Linked DNA regions of Danio rerio. The protein of the gene in region 2 interacts with the protein of the main gene of each other region in a biochemical or structural test. Links are inferred from orthologs where the notes say so. Each region holds a gene or a part of one and is shown on either strand. Other genes may lie near its edges.

Region 1 (3,740 bases), about 3.6 Mb from region 2:
ATGAGCCAGTGAGGGAAGACTAAGCCTAAACCTCTTTCTCCAAAAACAACATACACACATGCACACACTTCCACTTTTGCTATTACTGTCAAAAACCCCTGATGCAAAAATAGAACCAATTCTGAGGCTGTAATTACAGCAATTCCGCGGACCTGAGATCAGTCTGTCAATTTAAGGCAATAATGACAGAGCAGTTAGGATACTGATCCCAGGTCAGCTGGATGGCAGATTGCTGTGATTAAGGTGTCAGTCGGAGATGTGTGTTGTGGGATATTGACATCTATTAATGTGGACAGAGGAGGAGGTGGGAGACAGTGGCCATTGGAGACGGCTTACTCACAGGAACAATGCGTGAGTACTGAAAAATTGATGCTTTATGGTGTAACTCTAGCAGTCGGAGTGCAGAAATGAGCGTCTGCGGCGTGTGACTGACCTCTCTGGGGAACACTTTCCCCTTCCCCTTCAGATCGACCTGCTGAACTCGAATTTCCTGTTTCAGGAGAATATATGCATGAAAAAGAGCCCCACTAACATATATGCAGAATATGGTCATAGAGAGGAATGAAAGTGAACTCACGAGAGAGCTGCTTCTTTACTGACACCTACAGGATTAGATGAATCAAACAATGACAGGTTTGTGTTAAAGCCATGCATCATATTTGCTGTGACACTTTAAAAATAAGAAGTAATACTGTATTGATGACAATGTTGTCAAAACAACTAAAAACACCTACAAGCGCTCTATTATATATGACAGACATGTAGTTGTCACTTTGAAAAAGGATATACGCAGAAGGACTTTTAATTTTTCAGTAACCTGGGTCAAACGCTACTGGTGAAATGTATGCTGTTACAAAATCACCACGTTTAAGGTCTATTTCTTTAAAAATCAAAGATCTTTACAGCCTGATTAATATGCTATGTAAAGTGGGTCTTAGAATATGCAAGAAGCACTGCATTAAATTACATTTTTCCGCACCATGTCTTTAAAATATGAACATTTATTTTACCCCAATATTTTCAATTGAGTTTCTGTGCTATCCTGCTGATCCTGGCGGGGTATGCATGTAAAAGGTCTATTTAACTGATAATATATTTAATTATATTACAACATCTATGCTGTAAAAGGAACTGTATTAAATTTAAAAAAGGCACATTAACTATTCACTGGAAGTTTATCGGTATGGGAAAAACACCAGCTGTGTATATTGCCTATTAAACAGTACAGTATTCATCACCACTGAAGCTTTAGTTGTCAAGTGCATGTGTGTGATTATAGACTGAACGTAATATGCATGCATGTGACATAACTATTTTCATAAATTCTGCTTTTGAAGGTTACAATAAATAAAATAATAGTGTCATTTTTAAGAACCTGCCCTTGAAATCCTTTTTATGTCTATAAATAATAGTTGTGTAAATGAATGACAAAAACGCAGAAAATATTATAAAAAAAAACTTTTAAAACACATTAAAAATAATCAAGTAAATATAAAATTCATACATTTTGTGACAATAAATAAATAAATAAAATAAAATAAAATCACAATGGTCCATGACTTCATTTTGCTTTAATTATGTTTTAAAATGCTGTTCAATTAAAGGTTTCAGCATTAAATAGACATAAAACACAACCAAGATTTTAAGTTCTTATCAAAGTAAAGATCACAACCGCTGACAAGCACAGTGATCTGTTTTTCCTCAAAAGAGCTCATTTTAGGAGCCTAGAACTTAGTAAACATGTCTTTGTTTACAGAGGAGCCAGAAACATCATGTGCACTCTAACTGAAACCAAAGAATCACATTAGAGTGGTTTGTTTGCCTTGTTATGTGGAAAACAAATTAATTGGCATATGTAAAATGATTCATTTATTCTGAAACCAAAATGAGAGATTACAGAGACAATGACAGTATTATTCGACAAGTCCTGTGATCTCAATCAACATGTAATCTTAACCAACTTGTTCCATATCAGTTTTTGTTTCATATTTATATTATATAATATAATAAGCAATATTACACAAACAACGAGTGCAATATTCATTCATTTTTCCTCAACCCAGTCTGTTATTCATCAGGTGTTGCCACAACAGAATAAACCGCCAACTATTCCGCCACATGTTTTACGCAGCGGATGTCCTTCCGGCTGCAACCCAGTAAGGGGAAACACCTATACACTCTCGCATCTTAATTATTTTTGGTTTACTGTAATCAGTTACATACTGTACCCTTCTATTTATGAGACATTTTGTAAACTTAAGCACTGATATGTTGAGCAATTTTCGGTAAAAATGAATAAATGATTCGCATCACTCTTGATTTGGGCTGTTAAATCTCTTACCACTCTGTTTGGGGGCAGAGTCAACGCCCCCACTGTGGCCTTCAGCTCCTGCTCATTGGCTGCTGAGTTGCTGCGGTTGCTGCTGGCGACCGGGCGGATCTGGATGTGAAACTTCTTGGGTTCTTCGTCATCGAAATCCGAGTCACTGGAGTAAAAGTTTCCCTCCTTCTCCTCAGCAGCACAACGTAGAGAGCAACGGTGTTAAGGAGGAAATCAAGACACACACATGCACTCACACACAGATGCAAAGAGGGACAGGTGAACACTAGAAAACACTGGCTAAGACACAAATAGACACGAGTGTAAACATTTACACAAACACAGCTGTTATGAATAGTCTAGAAACAACAAGTGTAGAAATAGACATCGTATTTAGAGACCCTATAGAGTGTCATATGCTTTAAAATGGCTCATGATGAAGTCAATTAATCGGGAGCCTATAAGTGACATCTTCATCAGACAAATAGAAATGATGCAGTGGGCTGTGTATCCATCACTGTTTATTATCAGACAATGTAAGAGTCTCTGTTTCACATCCTGCTTTACTAAACCACATTTCCCGAAAATAACATCCTCTGTGTGTCTGTAATACCTTTGACACTGTGTAAAAAGGAGGGCAGATAAAAAAATATTTTCAAAAAGCTTATAGACCAGTATATGTGTATGTGAGTGAAAATCTGTTTTTACAAAACTATTTGTTGTGGTGTTGAATTTCCAGCCTTCAAACATCCTCAAAAAGCCAGGTTAAGAATCAAATAATTCCGAGTTCACACTGCATGATTTTAGCCCCAATTTTGACTCGCCGACAGGTTTTGAGAAATCGTCGACAAATGACTGAAATCACAGGCAAATCAGTGCTCTGTTCACATGAGTAACAATCACACAGTATGAACTATCAAAGGCGCGATCTGAAAGAATTGCCGATGAGTCGCCAACGCCTGTCAGCTATTTGGCATCCAAAATATCTGGTGCTGTCAACGACTCAAATCATGCCGTGTGAAATGTGTTCTGACTGAAAATAACATCAGCGATGACCTACAGCCAGTAAGAGAGCAAAGTTTGTAAGGTGCCCAAACTTCGTCTTATAAAGGGCCAAAAATCAAACTTGATTGAGAGCTGTGGGCCAAAGTTAAAGATATCAAACTGTATTAAATTAAATTTGCATATTTTTTAAAAATAACTAGAAGACGTTGCTTTAAACGTAATAAAACATGACGTGGATTAATTTTTAACGTTTTATAATGAACTTATTATAGTAAAAACATCCACAATCATATTTATAACACAATGGAGTTTAGAGCTGAATACACTAGTCGAGCTGCTCCTGCCTTTGCCTTGATTCGCTCGCCGATGTCTTGTGCATCTGCCAAGTGACAGTATTTACATTTTAAAAGTCTGA
Region 2 (3,740 bases):
AATGATTTTTCTAACCTTTTAAATACAAAACCATTTAATAACTAACTTTTAATAACTAACTTTTGTCTTTGCTTTGATGGCATAACTTAGTATTTTTCTAGCTATTTTATGCTTGTATTCATCTTAAAGTGCATTTTAAAGGGAATATATAACCATATATACATACATACATACATGTGTGTGTATGTATATACAGTTAAAGTCAGAATTATTAGCCCCCCTTTGACTTTTTTTTTCTTTTGAAAATATTTCCCAAATGATGTTTAACAGAGGATAGAAATTTTCACGGTATGTCTGATAATATTTTTTCTTCTTGAGAAAGTCTTATTTGTTTTATTTTGGCTAGAATAAAAGCATATTTAAATATTTTGAAAACCATTTTTAAGGTAAAAATTATTAGCGCCTTTAAGATATATTTTGTTTCGATAGTCTACAGAACAAATCATCATCATATAATAACTTGCCTAATTACCCTAAGCTGCCTAGTAAACCTAATTAACCTAGTTAAGCTTTTAAATGTCACTTTGAGTTGTATAGAAATTTCTTGAAGAGTATCTAGTCAAATATTATTTACTGTCATCAGGGCAAAGATAAAATAAATCAGTTATTAGAAATGAATTATTAAAACTATTATGATAGAACTGTGTTGAAAAAAATCTTCCCTCCGTTAAACAGAAATTGGGGGAAAAATAAACAGGGGGGCTAATAATTCTAACTTCAACTGTATATGTATATAAAATCCAGTTGAAATTGAAGTAATAACAACCCTAATAACTGATTTATTTTATCTTTGTCATGATGACAGTAAATAATACTTTACTAGATATTTTTCAAGACACTTCTATACAGCTTAAAGTGACATTTAAAGGCTTAATTAGTTTTAATAGGCAGGTTAGTGTAATTAGGCAAGTTACTGTATACCGGTGGTTTGTTCTGTAGACTACCGAAAAAATATAACTTAAAAGAGAATTATCTACTGTAGAACTGAGCGTTCAAAAAAACCTGTCTCAAGTATAATGATGACATACAAAAAATCCCACAAAGATCAACATGCAAGAACTGTTACATTTAGAAACATAAAAGGAAAAATTACTAATGTGCTACAGCTACTGACACAGAAGGATGAGAGATACAAGATGTGTGCCATGATGCAATCCATAGAGCTTCACAGCTAACATCAGCTCATAAGCCTGCAGACACATGAGACTTGACGTAAAATAAAAAGTAATTTAACACCAATTTAAGAAATATGCTTAATGATTACTCATTTCATTGCTGATGTTTTAGTCTGATGTTTTATTCGTCTGATGCACTCATATGTCTAGGCCTGGATTGCTCATACGGCCCATCATGAACATGCAGGTATTTCACACAGAAGTAAAGGTGTAGACAACAATGGATCGAGAGAGTAATCACTACAGTTAGCTGGAAAGCACTTCAACACAAATCATGAAAACAAAAAGAAGTCATCTCTCTCTTGAAGTCTCTTCATTAGCAAAGAGTTGCGCCTTCATAAGGCTTAATTTATTGGATGCATCAACGTATAAAGAGAGCTCACATGGATAAGTTTTAATTTAAAAAATAATAATAATAATACAGAAAGGAGCCAACAAGTGCTGTTATAAGCTTAGCTGATTATTGAATTTGGCATATATAAAAACAAAACATACTGTATGTCTTCTAAAAATAAAAAAAGGTGGTGCATGAATGATGGGATGCAGATGGAACCAAGAACCAATGTGTGGGAAGTAGCAGCCCAACAGAACAAGTGGACACAGTGATTAGTTCGTGCAGTGCAAGGCAAGGCAAATCAGTGAATAAAAGTACGACAGGGCAATAAACGTGCAAGCCTCAACCAATGGTGGAGAACATGACAAAAGAGCACAGGGGGATGAATTGAAAACAGCCAATAGCAAGCAGCCCCACCTCTCCTTCCACAGCCAGTGAGAACTTATATGCGTGATGTTAGGAATACTGCGAAGTCATAACAATAGTAGGTTTAAATAACACTGGGGTTTTGTTTTAGTAGAAGCGTTAGCCTTGATTCAGTTTCGCTATTGGATAAATATTTTCATTACAAGCTCATATGTATTTACAAAAAATAAAATAAAAAACAGGAACAGTGACAGTTTTGTGGCTTTCACATAAAGCAAGAGTCGTCAAAATATTGGACGAGGAGCCTTCCGGGAAAACAAACGGGCTATGAGGGGTCGAGAGGTCAAGGCTGCTGCATTGCGCAGGTGAAATGTCAGGGTCACTACTGGGGGTCAGGAGAGGGAGAGGGGGAGGAGCTCACTTTGTCAAAGCTGGCGAATCGGTTGGGGTCGCACGGGGCTTGGTGGGGTGAGGAAGGGGCGAAGGGGTCTGGTACCGAGTCTTTAGCGGGAAGGGAGGAGAACTCTGCTGATCCCTGGGCCTTGAACAGACCGCGGCGGTGAAATGACTCGGACGACTCCGATCGGTGGATGTTGGACCGCTTACCTTTAACACATACACATAGAGACAACACAGCACTCAAATACAGGTGACGTTATGGAGCCTTGTGGTCCATTATTTTCTGAACTGAGCAATTAAGTCAATCTGGAATCTGGTTTGTTCAGATTAGACATGCACCAATCAACTGGCAAAAAATCAAATGAAGGAATTGGGTTTTTTTTGTATTTGTTTTTAGTTTTTTTTAGAAACTTTTGATCGACAACCTGCTGATTTGCGCTTTAAATAAGCCAGTCTCTGTTATGACTTGCATAAAATCGGCACTGCAATGATTTTAATGTTACAAGCCAAGCACATTAACATTAACAAACTGAACAAATATTTTCTTTGCAATACTTGATACTGCAATACTTAAATGACTGTGTGATGTTTTTAACATTTAATTAAATGCTGTACTAATATGACGTGTTTGGACGGTTTCTATCACAACTCATATTTAGGTGATTATTTGAGGCTTGATATGTTGAAAACAATGATAAGGATGTTTATTATTTTCATTTGTAAATACCTCTAAAAAGGCTATAGTAAACATCTATTTTTAATGTACTATGGGCAATACCTATTCCACCAACAGGCAGAATGAATTTACTGTTATTATGCATTTCTACTGTTCCTTATACATTTATGTTTTTAAGTAAAATCATTTCACAAAGCTAAAGTAAAATAGTATAATTTTACTTGCAATGCAATAAATTGAAAGTAAACAAATATATTTACAAAAAAACTAATATATATATATATTATATATAAGGAATAAAATGAGGATTTGGAGGAAAAAAAATGTAATAAAAATGAATAATGTAATAATTTGCATCAGAAAATTTGTTTGCAAAAGAAAAAAAAGATAAAAAAGAAAGAAATGGTCAACCCGAATCAGCCATGAAATAAAGGTCAGTGCATCAATAGATAAAATCCATTTTACCTGGGGGTGGAGGTGGAGGTCTGGTTGGGGTTCCTGTTTTGGGTGGTAATGCTGGCGGTACATCTGACTGGGTGTCCTCCTTGAATAAATTCTTGTTTGTACTGGAGTCAAATGGATCATTGCCATTAGACTGAAAGGCAAAATAAAAAGTTCAGTGGCTGCAGTCGGGTCCATTTAAATCATATGGTTGGCAACTCAGCTGAAATACTGGACTTCTGTTTTACGTTCAAGATCCTTACCTTTGCTAAGCTGCTGAAGTCTGCAAAACCTCCGCCAAAAGTCTCATTGCCAAATACTGCAGCAAAAGGGTCTGAAACAAAGTAAG
Region 3 (4,454 bases), on a different chromosome or scaffold from region 2:
CAAGATTCTTGCCTGCTTCAGTTTGGCCAATCACAAACACCTTTTGTTTTTCAGTAGGAGTGGTCGATACTGCAAAATCTTGAATCTCAATACCAAGTAATTACTGTTCCAGTATCGGGGACATCGATACAGATACCAATACTTTTAATTTCCTTGTTTTTTAGTGAATTTTAGTGGAAAGTATTATATTAAAAGTATTTAAAAAAATTAAACAGCTTCAGGGGTGTCATGGTGGCGCAGTGGGTAACACGATCACCTCACAGTAAGAAGGTTGCTGGTTTGAGCCCCAGCTGGGTCAGTTGGCGTTTCTGTGTGGAGTTTGCATGTTCTCCCCATGTTGGTGTGGGTTTCCTCCGGGTGCTCCGGTTTCCCCCACAGTCCAAACACATGCGCTATAGGGGAACTGATGAACTAAATTGGTCGTTCATGAGTGTGAATAAGTGTGTATGGATGTTTCCAGTGTTGGGTTGCAGCTGGAAGGGCATCCGCTGTATAAAACATATGCTAGATAAGTTGGCTATTAATTCCCCTGATTAATAAAGGGACTAAGCCAAAAAGAAAATGAATGAATGAATGAATGAATAAACAGCATCAAAAAACACACCTCAAACCCTTCCTAAAACCCACAACAACACAGGAGAAATAATCATACTATTAATAATAACTATAATCACAATAATAAAATACACTTGAACCTATATTTATGTTGTGTCATGTTCGCAATATGTACATTATGCTAACAGATTTTCCATTCATTTAAGTATTCATTCATTTCCTTGCTCTTCCAGACTGGGAAAATTTACTTACCCAGTACTGGGAAAAATTATAGATAATCTGATATCATAATAATCAAATATAATACAATTATTCAATAAATTAAAAATGTTAATATTGTATATTATTTTAAGTGTTGTTTAATGATTATGCAGTGTTTACAACCTCTTATTATTTGTGAGTCTTTCATTTTGCCTATAGGTAGAATTTATCCAATATTTCCATTGTTCATTCATTCATTCATTTTCTTTTCGGCTTAGTCCCTTTTAGAATTTTGCAATTCTCCACATCTTTGGACTTGTGGGGGAAACCGGAGCACCCGGAGGAAACCCACGCCAACACGGAGAAAACATGCAAACTCCACACAGAAACGCCAACTGACCCAGCTAAGGCTTAAACCAGCGACCTTCTTGCTGTGAGGCGACAGCAATTAATTAATTCATTTTCTTGTCGGCTTAATCCCTTTATTTATGCGGCCTTCCAGCCGCAACCCATGTATGGGAAACAAATATAATACAATTATTCAATGAATTACAAATGTTAATACTGTATGCTATTTTGATTATTGTTTAATGATTATGCAGTGTTTATAACCTCTTATTAACTGCGAACATTTCATTTAGCCTATAGAATTTATCACATATTTCTATTGTTACCCTTTTAATTTCTTATATAATTTAGTATTTCATTAAATATTTAATATAATTTATACTTAACCTGTACAGCAACAGGCTTGACGTACACTTTCCTTAGATTCCTACACTCACGCATAAGTAATGTTGTGAAGTCGAAGCTCCTCCCATGCTGATTGTTTGTGTTGTGAATAATTAATGAGCGCTCGTGTCAGTCTGTGACCCCGCCCAGCGCAGAATCCGGGCGGCTGAACCCCGGCGAGCAGTCACTCAGGAACGACACACACACATAAGGAGACATACAGACACACGGGATTTCCAGCAGGACCGAGACATACTTTGGGGAATATAATATTTCATTTCAGCGCTCGTGTAAATCTCTGAACCCTTCCTGGCCGGGTTCACTAACATCTGTGTGGATACGAGCAGTTCGTCTGACCCGCCGCTTGAACAGGTGAGTCGATTCACCTCTACCTGTCCATCTGAACGAATCGTGTCGATCATGCTGTGATAGTAATGTAGCTGCTGGTTATTATGACGACCGATGTTGATGTTGTTGTTAGCCAGCTAACGAGTTAGCTGACTGTTTGACTTTGAGTTCAAAACGTAGCATCCGGCTAAGTCATCTGCTAGCCAGCGACAAGCCTAATAAATTCACTCAAGCTGATGACTTGTGTGAATAAAACATTGAGACCACGATATTGTGTGTTTAATGTCAAGGGTTTGGCTTTGGTTAACCGGTTTAGCGGTTAGGTTTGTTTGTAGAAGAGTTGCTAGCGGCTAGCCGGTTAGCAGCTCACCTGCCACTGATTCACAAACCTTAAACACTACAGACAGCAGTACAGTGGCCAGCTCTCGTGTATTCTGTCTTTATGGGCATCAGAGAAAAGGAAAATCTCTATGTTATCAGCTATTATTTAGCTATTGACGTGTACTTGACTGTGTTTTCATCTGCTGGGCATGGTTAGCTGGTATATTCTGCAGTTATTCGACTTAAGACAGAAGAAGGTGACATAAGTTTCTTGAGGTATGTCAACTTCATTTGTCTTATGCATATTTGTGTTTCTTTTAAATGTCAATTTGCTGTCACACAACTTTATCCCAGTGACTGTGAACTGTGTTTGTAGCAGTCACAGACTCCAGAATGATGCTTTGGATAATAGTGAACAGTCAGTAATGATTATATTCAAGATTACATAACAACAAATCAGTCTGAGTCACATATTTCCCATACCAGCATCATGGGTGATACCAGAAGATTGAGGTTAAGTATATTCGCACATTCAGACTTCTCCCAAATAATATAATTTCAGAAAAGGGTGCAATTTCTGCATGGGGAAATCGTACAAGCAGCCAATGACTGTCAAAGTACACCATTGTTCACGGTCAGTTAAAATGTGCTTATGTTGTTTTGAAGTCATACTTGCATGCTATTTCAGAACGAATATTTGGTGTCGCATGGTCAACAATATGTAGAGATAAAGTTGGTTTTATGTTCGCACATTCGTTCGTTTTAACAGTCTCTATATTGTTTACCATGTTACTTTGAATATTCGGAATTAGCATGCAAGCATGACTTCAAAACAACATTAACACTATCTGATTCACTGTGAACAATGCTGTACTTTGATAGTCATTTGCTGCTAATATGATTTCCCTATTTACAATTTGCAAAGAAGACTTTTCTGAAATTATATTAAGGAGAACGTCTGAATATCCGAATATAAAACCAGCTTTACCTCTATAAACAATATAGGGACCTTTGAAATAAATGAATGTGCAAACATTTGTGAGGAGTGAAATGGACATTTTGTGGTTTGGTTAAAAGTCTGTCAAAATGCCTGTCTTGATGTGTTTATCTTGTCTAATTATGTCTTAAATGAGCACAAACTGTTTAGAAAGTCATTTAGGGCTGTACATTTTGATATTTTTGCTTTTAAACTATAGAAACTTATAAGATATAATAAAATAAAAATAGTCTAGGGCAGCATGGTGGCGCAGTGGGTAGACCGTTCACCTCACAGCAACAAGGTTGCTGGTTTGAACCTCGGCTGGGTCAGTTGGCATTTCTGTGTGGAGTTTGCATGTTCTTCCCGTGTTTGTGTGGATTTCCTCCGGGTGCTCTGGTTTCACCCAGACCAAACACATGCGCTATAGGGGAATTGGGTAAGCTTAATTGTCCATAGTGTATGAGTGTGAATGGATGAGTCTCAGAGATGGGTTGCAGCTGGAAGGGCATCCGCTGCGTAAAACATATGCTGGATAAGTATGTATATATATATATGTATATATATATATATGTATATATATATATATATATATATATATATATATATGTATATATATATATATATATATATATATGTATATATATATATATATGTATATATATATATATATATATATATATATATATATATATATATATATATATATATATATATATATATATATATATATATATATATGTATATGTATATATATATATATATATGTATATATATATATATATATATATATATATATATATATATATATATATGTATATATATATATATATATATATATATATTTTTTTTTTTTTTTTACGTGCATTTTGTATTTTGGAAATGCCAAGATGTGCATAGATTTACAAATCTGCATAAACAACTTAAGAAATAAGTAAAAATGTGCATAAACTATGATGCAAACACATTTACAAATTAAATTCCAGCATTGGCATCAGTAAAGTGATGTGATTTAGTTTGAACAGTTGATGAAGATGTGTGTGATGGGATGCATTAATGGGCACAGCAGCATTTTGAGCACATTGTACAGCCGGAATGTCAAACTCAATTCCTGGAGGGCCGCAGCTCTGCACAGTTTAGTTCCAACACTGATTAAACACACCTGATCAAACTAATTGAGTCCTTCAGGCTTGTTTGAAACCTACGGGTAAGTGTGTTGGAGCAGGGTTGGAACTAAACTGTGCAAGGTTGTGGCCCTCCAGGAATTGAGTTTGACACCCCTGTTGTAAAGCATCTGAAATGTTGTTTTGCTGATTGTAAA
Region 4 (2,807 bases), on a different chromosome or scaffold from region 2:
CATTTCCGAAAGGGCCGCAGTTCTGCACAGTTTAGTTCCAACCCTAATTAAACACACCTGATCAAACTAATTGAGTCCTTCAGGCTTGTTTGAAACCTACAGGTAAGTGTGTTGGAGCAGGGTTGGAACTAAACTGTGCAGGGCTTCGGCCCTCCAGCAATTGAGTTTGACACCCCTGCTGTAAACCCTAGAGATGGTTGTGCGCTCAATCAACCATGCCACGTTCAGTCACTTAAATCATCTTTCTTCTCCATTCTGATGCTCGGTTTGAACTGCAGCAGATCATCTTGATGCCTAAATGCTTGCTGCCATATAATTGGCTGATTTGAAATTTGCATTAACGAGCAGTTGGACAGGTGTACCTAATAAGGTAGCCTGTGAGTGTATTATGACAATATATTTGTGTATTATGAAATAATGAATTCTATTGCTTATTACATGTTGTCACATAGCAATTAATTAAAAGAACAATTAAAGGAAATACTAATGATTTTAAAGCAAATCAATGCAACAAAATAGGCTTGGACAATTTTGTTTTGTGGATTTTTATTTTATTTCTTAAATTCCTTTTGATTTTTTTTCTCCATTTTATTTTTTTTATGTGAATGTTCACAGTCAACACCACACACTTTTTGACCATAGCCAATATTAGAGAAATATCTCTAAAATGTTCATATATATTTATATTTATATATATAAAATAATTTGAAAGTAAATAAAGGATAACAGCATGGATCGTATCATTCAGTCCCCATTTTTATAATCTGATTTCACAAAATCATTCAGACAATTTTCAGTTTCAAAAGCGTTAACACTTTCCTGTTTTCTGTGTGAATGTAGAAGGACAAAGGTGCTGAAGTGAAATGCAAAGACAAGCGCTGTTTCTCAAGTGAACAGGTGTTGAATTAATGCTTCGATTTTCTTTCTTTTTTTTCACGACTGCAAAAATAAGTGGCTGAAAATTAGGACTCTTATAAAGACAATGCTGATTACCCCATCAAAAGCAAAGCAGTGGGCCAAGTGAAACACTGGACATGTCAAACACTCTCTCACATAAACACACTCACTCCTCATGTGTGTATGAACCATGCGGTATGGACTGAAATGTTGCAGGCCAGAGACCGAGCAGGCATCTGTTTCAATGGCAATTTCCAGTGCGATTTTCCTTGGTTTAATCGTTTCCAGGAGTCAGAGACATACGATTAAAATAAATTACACAAGATTACACATTAAATTAAATTAAAAGTAATACATCTATCAAATGATTTTTACTAGAGTTGTGAATAAAACGGACAGCCGAATCCTTCTGAATCCATTCAGGGCCAGTCCGTCAGACATCCTTCATGCGCTCTTTCTTTAGAGGGCCACCGGCTCTTCCATCATCAATGAAAGGAGGGGGGGGAGAAATCAGGGTGTGTGATTAAGTTCATTAGTGGCTTGTTTTCCTCCTCCCATTTCTTCATATTCCTGATTCTGAGCAACAACAATCATCTTAATAATATAACAATATTAACAGCCTGCATTCATTGAATGAACCCACCAATCATCCATGTCTGTCAAAGAAACCAAAACTCAATAGGGAAATAAATAGACTTCAAATACTGTCAAATAAAACGGGGGAAATAAAAGAACAAAACAAAACTGAAATGCTGTTTGTGACAGAAAAGAACACGTTGTTGTTTTTACTTTTCATTAAATATAGAGATGAACACACATTTGTTTTTGTTGAACACAAACTGTTTGTGTTGGTAGGGCAGGTTCGGATTGGTTGTTGAGTGCACAGGGCCAGTGGGATTGGTGAAATCTCTCAAAGAAGGAAAGGATTGGTGCTTGTGCCTGTGGTTCCACCTCCCATGGATCCCCCTGTTCCCATTACTCCGCCCACTCCTGATGGCCCGCCCAAAATCAGTGAAGGCTGCGCAGGTCCTCCTGGACCCATCAGCAAGGGGTTTCCTCCTGGACCCATAGGGGATATTCCACCGTAAGGCATGCCCATTCCCATGCTTAAACCGGGGGCCGCCATAGGGACCCCCATTCCTGGCATGCCCATTCCTGGCTGAACCATTCCTACTACTGGCGGAGGCATGTGACCCAGCATGGGATTTGGGGGAACGGGGCTTGTACGCAGCTGGTTCAGACCAAGTGAAGAGGGTTGAGGGGAGATTGATGCCATTGGGGTCGCGCCAAAAGGATTAGAAGCAGAAGGTGGGGTCGGAGATACTCCTCTACTTGAAATGGTACTTCCTGGGGTAACTCCCATACCTGTTGAGGAAGGCCCTAATGGAGGAAAGAAAGATGTTAGAGGGAAAAGCAAACAAACACAATTTCTATTCAATTGTTTTAAAAACACACCCTGTGTCTGGAGGAAGGGGTTGTTAGATGTGGAGGAGATGCTTGGTGGGGGTGGTTGTTTTGGTTTGGGTTTTGATGATACTAGCGAGTCCAAATCCACCAGTGCTGCGTTGGGCCCCAAAAATGACTCTGGTGTTTTCCGAACAGGCAAAGAGCTACCAATCGATGAAAGGTCAAAGGGCACAGGAGAGCCTGTGCTGCCACCTCCTCCTGCATCACATGTCACTGAGGAACCTCTTCTCTCTGGATCTGCTGTGTGTGGGGGGAAATGGCAAAAAACAATTACAGGCAAACAGCATATTTGTTTAACTGAGGTGGGGTTACAGTCCAAACAATCCTTTGCTAAACCCTACATTATTACCCACAATAGATTCAACTGTATCAAAGCACCTAAAACTGAAATAAGATCTGAATAATTATGTATATGATCAAAATTCTGCCTCCGAGCTACTTTA

Evidence for each region.
Region 1: the proteins of eps15 (region 2) and fcho1 form a complex in vitro, tested with the Homo sapiens proteins (2 studies listed by BioGRID). The link is inferred for Danio rerio from reciprocal best matches to the Homo sapiens genes EPS15 and FCHO1.
Region 3: the proteins of eps15 (region 2) and numb form a complex in vitro, tested with the Homo sapiens proteins (2 studies listed by BioGRID and IntAct, with this or other methods). The link is inferred for Danio rerio from reciprocal best matches to the Homo sapiens genes EPS15 and NUMB.
Region 4: the proteins of eps15 (region 2) and epn1a form a complex in vitro, tested with the Homo sapiens proteins (4 studies listed by BioGRID and IntAct, with this or other methods). The link is inferred for Danio rerio from reciprocal best matches to the Homo sapiens genes EPS15 and EPN1.

What each region holds. Positions count from the first base shown.
Region 1 is NC_133183.1:21,921,228-21,924,967, reverse strand, and holds part of fcho1 (f-BAR domain only protein 1), read right to left. Parts: intron 2,527-3,740; coding exon 2,342-2,526; intron 603-2,341; coding exon 578-602; intron 491-577; coding exon 434-490; intron 1-433. UniProt on the Homo sapiens protein: Functions in an early step of clathrin-mediated endocytosis. Has both a membrane binding/bending activity and the ability to recruit proteins essential to the formation of functional clathrin-coated pits.
Region 2 is NC_133183.1:18,301,432-18,305,171, forward strand, and holds part of eps15 (epidermal growth factor receptor substrate 15), read right to left. Parts: intron 3,726-3,740; coding exon 3,655-3,725; intron 3,546-3,654; coding exon 3,416-3,545; intron 2,482-3,415; coding exon 2,297-2,481; intron 1-2,296. UniProt on the Homo sapiens protein: Involved in cell growth regulation. May be involved in the regulation of mitogenic signals and control of cell proliferation. Involved in the internalization of ligand-inducible receptors of the receptor tyrosine kinase (RTK) type, in particular EGFR.
Region 3 is NC_133192.1:57,986,469-57,990,922, reverse strand, and holds the start of numb (protein numb homolog), read left to right. Parts: upstream 1-1,626; 5' UTR 1,627-1,860; intron 1,861-4,454. UniProt on the Homo sapiens protein: Regulates clathrin-mediated receptor endocytosis. Plays a role in the process of neurogenesis.
Region 4 is NC_133191.1:13,119,268-13,122,074, reverse strand, and holds the end of epn1a (epsin-1), read right to left. Parts: intron 2,605-2,807; coding exon 2,353-2,604; intron 2,278-2,352; coding exon 1,808-2,277; 3' UTR 739-1,807; downstream 1-738. UniProt on the Homo sapiens protein: Binds to membranes enriched in phosphatidylinositol 4,5-bisphosphate (PtdIns(4,5)P2). Modifies membrane curvature and facilitates the formation of clathrin-coated invaginations. Regulates receptor-mediated endocytosis.